Cricetulus griseus: one gene and its partner. The protein of the gene in region 2 binds, or shares a complex with, the protein of the main gene of each other region. Links are inferred from orthologs where the notes say so. Each region holds a gene or a part of one and is shown on either strand. Other genes may lie near its edges. The genes, in order: C-type lectin domain family 1 member B and Pdpn.

Region 1 (3,537 bases), on a different chromosome or scaffold from region 2:
GGGGAACAGAGGGAGTTTGGGGTGGGGGGCTGGTGGGGAGTGGGAAAGGAGGGGGGGAGAATGAGCAGAGATTGACATGTGAAGCAGGCTTGTTTCTAATTTGAACTAATAAAAAATAATTTCTTGGGGAAAAAAAGAGTTGGTCATGGAATCTAGGAGGAAAAGGGGAACTTGACTCCTTGAGAATTTAGAAAGAACACCACTTTCCTGCAATATTGTGAGCAAGGCAGTAAGCAATGAGAGTTAAGGGCCATGGTTTGCAGGTTTGTATGTATTTGTGTGTCTGAGATTCTGTCCAAGGTAAATAATAAATACATGTTGCCTTAGTTATTTATTTAAATAATGATAGAATTGTATAAGCTTTTGTTATAAATTCTGGACAGAGAGAGTGCAATGTTGTGCCAAATAAACAAAAGATGTTGAAACTAGTGGCTAGAGAGCTGTATTGAGAGCCAGCAAGATGGCTCAGCAAAGAAAGGTGTTTGCTTGCAAGTTTGCTGACCTATATTTGATTTCCAGGACCTACATGGTGGATGGATAAAACTAACTAACTAACTCCCCCAAGTTGTCCTCTGACCTACACTCTCATACAATGTGGCATGCGGATCTCTCTCTCTCTCTCTCTCTCTCTCTCTCTCTCTCTCTCTCTCTCTCTCTCTCTCTCTCCCTACCTATCTCTCATACACACATGCACACATACTAAATTTTAAATTTTAAAAAATTAAGGTGAGACAGAGCCATATTGAATAACACAACTCGGTGAAATGAGGTCATTTGCCTACAATGCCATTAGAAGTGTGGAGACTTATTGTAAAGCATTGGAATTGCCTTGTGATCTACAATCTACCTGGTTTGTAGAGACCCACAGGACGAACAGATAGTGAAAATAAACTTGATGGTAATTACTCCAACCATAAAATAATGAAAAAGAGAAATTTATTCTCAAAGCACAAAAGAATTAGGCCAATTTACACACCACACACACACACACACACACACACACACACACACACACACACACGAGAGAGAGAGAGAGAGAGAGAGAGAGAGAGAGAGAGAGAGAGAGGGAGGGAGGGGGTGAGAGAGAGAGAGAGGGAGAGAGGGAGGGAGGGGGAGAGAGAGAGAGATTAGTCACATGTGACTGACAGCTACAACCCATAGTGGGGTAGAGAGACATCTCGACTTTCAGGCAACTTGTGTTCTACAAGAAATATGTGACTTGAAGCTTTGAGTAACGCCTTCTAAGCTGAGCTACCAGAGACTTACATATTCTTGGGAAGAACTGAGCTATCTTCCCACATCCAGTCCTTATTAGAGTTCTGACGTGATAATCCAATCCAACGGACAGAAGTAATCCTGCTTGTGAGGTATTCCTGTTGCAAACAAATCCATAAAATGGTAAGTGCCTCCACAAGCACTGTGCAATGACAGTGACACAAGCCTCAAGCAAGCATCTGAAATTACACACCTATGTTGCTATTGATGAGTTATATTTCATGTCTAGGATTTTGCTAGTTTGTTTTGAGACACTAAAAAGTGTATAGAGCACAAGATAAATTGCATTATATAGGTAATATTCTAGTTTTCCTATGTTTTTATAATGTATTTTTGTATTTTCTACCAATTAAAAATTTTAGTTCCAGGGAGACCCCTAAATATGATTCAATTGGGATGAATGCAACTACAGATGACAAGAAACAAAATGAATTAAGTTCTTGGATTTTATTGATTATCTTATATACAGAAATATTAATTTGTTTTAGTTGCATGAATAGAGAACTTCTACCTTTCCAAATATACATTTTTCTATGCTTTCTTTCTCCTTTTAGATAAATTCTTACTGTGTAGCCCAAGCTGGCCCCAAACGTAATTCTAGCCTGAGCTATCACTATGTAAACATACACTGCCACATCTGGCTCTGATTTACTTTTTCCTGCCTGGTTATAATTTATTTTTGTTATTTTGTTTGGTTTTTCAAGACAGGGTTTCTCTGTGTATCCCTGTATGTCCTGGAGCTCACTCTGCAGACCTGGGTAGGCTCAAACTCATAGATCTGCCTGCCTTTACATCTCCTATGCTAGAATTAAAGGCTGCCCAGCTAATTTTCTTAAATTCATCGCTTTTGGTTTTATTGAGTACATAGATGCAGGTCCCAGAGTGGTTCCAGTGCATACAGATTGACTATTAGATGAATGGACAATCAATCTCTCGGAGAGAAAAGCAAAAGGAAGCCAAATATTCATTATGCCTTCATGCATCCCAGAATAGCAGACAAGAATTCACCCTTGAAAGCAACAAAACAAAACAAAATTGTTTTGAGCTTGTGGGCAGAAGTGTAACACACAGAATAACACTGCGCAGGAGACACTTGGGCCACCCACCGCCTTTCTGTTAATCCATCAATCGCTTTTCTCTAAAACATGACCATATAGATAGATACATATCCACACTGCCCAAGATGCCTCCCTGTTGGACTTGATGGAAAAATCCAATTGGTTTTTAACCTTTTTTTCTTAAAATGGTGATACTTCTTTTGTTATCTTACAGATTTTCAAGTGGTGTCAGTCTGGAATGATGGGAGTCGTAGCATGTTTCATGTCTCTGTGCAATCTCTTTATAATGGAGTTGACATGCTAGGACACGCCCCTGTTTTGACTGGGTAAATATATTCGTTAATTTTAACCTTCTCTATGAATTTAGACAGAAACGCACACAAACTGGAATAAATGTGATGGGAGTGTCACCCGCTGCTGACTCATCCTGTCCCACCCACTGTCCACTTTTGCTGTCATGGAGGCACACGCAATCCAGTCTCACTGAAACACTGTTGTGATATTCTGGAATATTACTGGATTGAATATGTAAGCTCTGTATTTGTTATCAAGCTTCCTAAATTTCTCAGAGGAGCACCAAGTGCAAGCCATTAAGAAACACATTTTTAAAAAGAAAGGAAAAAAAAAACCAGATTCCATGTTTCATTTGAGAGCTTTTTCCTTAAGTTCCCGTATGTTTGACATGGGACCCTCCTTACCACAGTCCCCTGGCTGGCAGCCTTCACAAGCGTTGCATTCTGCTCAGCACAATACTGCTTGCTCTCTTCCCACGTTCGGTTATGTCTGAAGAACCCATAGCAACTGTCTCCATGGTATCTCCACCTTGAGGCACAGGGGCTGCACTTGTGCTCTGAAGGGGAGACCAAATTTGGGGCTGTCAAAATCCGGCTGCAGCTTTCCCCAGGTGCAGTGTGCCTGCTCTGGTGGGCCTCCCTCCTGTTACCACAACAGACACACAGGGCTTGGAGGGATGACATTTCCAAGCCAGACTTACCAGCCGTGTTCTTTGTCTTGAGCTCTGATTGCTTAATCAACTCTTGGCAGAATTTCTTGGCCAGTTGTTGCAAAGTGGCTGAGAGACTTTCCTTCTCAGCTAGTGGGTACCTTTGCTGTGTAACTGCTAAATGTAGAAAAGAGACAAATTACCCCTGGGTCTCAAGATCAAAAGGATGATGGCAGGGTTCTTCAGTGAACTTTCATTTCT
Region 2 (3,822 bases):
CTGCTATCTCCATCTACTGATTTCAGCACCTCTAGGTACCTCATGCAAGTGGGCTCACACCATATTGTCCTTGGTGTCTGGCTGAACTCGCCTCACGTATATTATAGCATCTGTAAGCATTTATTTCTCTTTTGGGGCTAAGTAATATCCCACTGTGTGTACATATTATATTTTTTCTCCATTCATTTGTTTGGGAATACTGAGTTGCTTCCATGTGTTAAATGTTGTGGATAGTGATCTGTACACAGGCATACCAATCTGCAAGGTTTTGTTTTGCACTTGAAGCAGCATCTCCTGCAGTCCCATGCTATTATTTTGTTTTGACAAATAAAGTCTTACTGGGTAGCCCAGGCTAGTGTCCAATTTGCAATCCTTGTGCCTCAGAAAATGAGCGTTATGGACATGTGCTACCACACCTGGATGTAAAATCATTTTGTAAATCCTTGCAAGTACTGTAGAGTTCTTAAAGCCAGACTGGCACCTGCACCTGGAAGTATGCATTAACACAAGAGTCTTTTTGGTTCTTCAAGGCAGGGTTTCTCTGTGGCTTTGGAGCCTATCCTGGAACTAGTTCTTGTAGACCAGTCTGGTCTCGAACTCATAGAGATCCACCTGCCTCTGCCTCTGCCTCTGCCTCTGCCTCTGCCTCCAGAGTGCTGGGATTAAAGGCGTGCACCACCAATGCCCGGCTAACACAAGAATCTTAACTCGGGGTCAGCAACGCAACACCCAGAGCCAGCGGCTGGCCCTTGCAGGGAGTTGCCACTAGTTACAATTCAAGGTTGAGAGATAGTCCCAGAAAGCCAGTAAACTAAAGTTGATATTGGATTCTGTACCCAGCACACAAAGCTTGGCATGGAATTTATACTTTCAGTCTCTGACTCTTCTGCTTCTGGGTTTCATGGGTTCCGTAAGAGTGGACCCACCTTTGTTGGGGTGACTTGTTTCCTTATCTGCAGAGTGGCTAGTCACCATTCTGACAGTGGTTGTACTCTTATGTTCTTCTCCATCAGGGTCTGAGGTTCCTGGAGTTGGCAGTTCCTCAAAGGGAATCTTTGTGTGTGGTACCTGTTAGGAGTGAGCAAGGCAAAAGAGAAAATAAAGGCTCGTATTTAAGACATACAGTGTTGCCGGGCATTGGTGGCGCACGCCTTTAATCCCAGCACTCAGGAGGCAGGGGCAGCTGGATCTCTGTGAGTTCCAGGCCAGCCTGGTCTACAGCGTGAGTTCCAGGTCAACCTCCAAAGCAATACAGAGAAACCCTGTTTCGAAAAACCAAAAAACCATACAGTGTCTGACTTCCTAAAGGAAATATTTTAAGGTAGCATGTATTCAAAACACACAAGAATAAATCCCAGATGCAAACAAACAAGAGTGCAGGTGGAGCTGGGCAGTGGTGCTGCAGGCCTTTGGGAGGCAGGGGCAGGTGGATCTCTAGGAGTTCAAGGCCAGCGTGGTCTACAGAGTGAGTTCCAGGACCACCAGAGCTGTTAAACAGAGAAACCCTGTTCTCGACAAGAAAGAGTAGAGATAGGGGTAAAACCAGGTTCAGTCCAGAAATGAACTTTTAAATGTTGGGCATGCAGACTTCCTGTCCCTTAGCTCTTGAAAACAAAACAAAACAAACAAACAAAAAAACAAAACAAAACAAAAAAACAAACTGGCTCACCTAATATTTTCTCTCCCTAGAATTGGAATAGCACTTTCCTCTTGTAGCACCGATTTGGCAGAACTACGTGGAGGGGGACAGCTCACTGTCGCCGACAGCTTCCTTTGTACCAGGCCCTTTAAATACGTTCTCAATATTCTCAGTAGACCACAGGCAACTTTCTAAAGTAAATTCAATGAACAAAGCTGAAGAGGTTTCATAATGTGAGCTGACTTCCTGCAGGAAAGATCCCTCACAGCCATTCCATGACGGCAGAGGCTAGGAAGTGGTTCTGGTTTTAAGAGTAAACGTATGTAGGGGAGGGGGTGAAGTGTTGTGGAAATTTCCTTCACACTGTGTAAAGATATGTCACTGTGATTGGTTTAACAAGGAGCTGAATGGCCAATAGCTAGGCAGGAAGAGGTTAGGCAGGACTTCCAGGCAGAGAGAGAGAAAAGGAGAGGGCACGAGAGAGACATGGGGAGACTGAGAGGAAACAGGAGGAGCAAGACGGAAGGGAGGTTACAAAGCCACAAGACATTGGGCTGCAGAGATGGCTCAGAGGTTAAGAGAACTGACTGCTCTTCCAGAGGTCCTGAGTTCAATTCCCAGAAACCACATGGTGGCTCCCAACCATCTATAATGAGGTCCTGTGCCCTCTTCAGGCGTGCAGGGATACATGCAGACAGAATGTTGTATACATAATAAATAAATCTTTAAAAAAAAAAAGAAAAGCCATGAGACAAAATGTAGATTCATAAAAATGGGCTCATTTAAGTTGTAAGAGTTATTGGGATAATCCTAAGCTCTAGGCCAAGTTTTCATAATTAATAAGTCTCCATGTCTTTTTTTTTTTTTTTTTTTTTGAGCTGGTGGCCCAAAGGAAAAAAAAAAATCATTCTACACAGTGGATGTGTGTGAATGTGTGTTTGTTGTTTCAAGAGACAGGACTCTCACTGTCTTGGGGCATGCTTATTGGGCTAGGCTAGCTGGCCAGCAGACCCCAGGGATTCTCCTTTCTCAGTATCTCCAGAGCGAGGGTTACAAGCAGGTACCATCCCCTCTAACTTTTACATGGGTTTTAGGGATCAAACGCAGGTCCTCATGATGGCAAGGCATGCATGCTACTGACTGAGCCATTTCCCCAGCCCAGTGTTGGCTTTTTAACTTTTTTATTGCTCATCACTGAGGATAGAGCAAATGATCTGGGTGAAGAGATACACAGTTAGGTATATAGTAACTGGCTTGGGGCTTTCATGCTCCCTCTAGGTGACCCCCTCCCACCTCCCCAGGAACCTACCAAACCTCCCGGAATCTAGTCCTTTTTAGCTTGTTTGTTTGTTTAATTGACAGAGCTTCACTATGTAGCTCTGGCTGTCCTGGAACTCGCCATGTAGACCAGGCTGGCCCATATTTACAGAGCTCTGCCTGCTTCTGCCTCCTGGGTACTGGGATTAAACACATGTGCCAAAACACCTGGCCTCATGAGGCTCAGGTTTGCAAACACTAAACTGATTTCTTACTACTTTGAGAAGATGTGTTCTACTGCTCTCAGATTGTCTGTGCCCACCACACCAGCTCCCTTGTCCCTGGATGAGACTTGGATGTACCTTCTGTCCTGAGCCATGCCACTATTTTGTTGTACAGCCGCTGATTTCACATATAAGTATACATCATACTGTGGCATGTCACAGCCTGCCTTTGGCGCCAACTCCCCCTGTCCCTAGGCACTCACCAGAGGTCCCTTGCCAGTAGATTCATCCAGTCTTCCAGTAGCCCCTGTGGTTGCTATTCTGTCTTCTAGACCTGGGGTCACCAGGCCATCTCTTGTACCCGGGGTCACAATATCATCTTCTAGTGGGCCTATGGCCGCTGAAAAAGAAAGGCCAGTCAGGGATTCAGTTTGCAAAGGATATGGGTGGAGCCAATTGGCCACCTACAGCCACACCCAATTATGTTTCTTACAGTGTGTACAGTGTGGTCCTTTCTGACCAGTCACAGTACCAGGGCCCACACCAGTGTCCTTGTGGAGCCTCTGACACACCCCATGATCTGGTTGTCTCCACTGAGATGCAAAGGAAAACGGAGACACATGGTGAAGCTGCCAGCTGGGGCTGGACATGTACATGCCTACCCTTCCCTTTCCGGTAAAGAGCCAGTGTCTTCCCAACTAA

What was found.
Region 1: the proteins of Pdpn (region 2) and C-type lectin domain family 1 member B are in contact, whole or in part, in a crystal structure (PDB 3WSR), measured with the Homo sapiens proteins. The link is inferred for Cricetulus griseus from reciprocal best matches to the Homo sapiens genes PDPN and CLEC1B. Residues at the interface, in NP_006465.4 of Homo sapiens: Ala46, Glu47, Asp48, Asp49, Val50; in NP_001380271.1 of Homo sapiens: Arg107, Phe116, Arg118, Arg152, Thr153, His154, Leu155, Arg157.

The regions. Positions count from the first base shown.
Region 1 is NC_048601.1:16,668,128-16,671,664, forward strand, and holds part of C-type lectin domain family 1 member B, read right to left. Parts: intron 3,454-3,537; coding exon 3,328-3,453; intron 3,184-3,327; coding exon 3,032-3,183; intron 1,374-3,031; coding exon 1,267-1,373; intron 1-1,266. UniProt on the Homo sapiens protein: C-type lectin-like receptor that functions as a platelet receptor for the lymphatic endothelial marker, PDPN.
Region 2 is NC_048595.1:9,940,219-9,944,040, reverse strand, and holds part of Pdpn (podoplanin), read right to left. Parts: intron 3,521-3,822; coding exon 3,384-3,520; intron 1,069-3,383; coding exon 927-1,068; intron 1-926. UniProt on the Homo sapiens protein: Mediates effects on cell migration and adhesion through its different partners.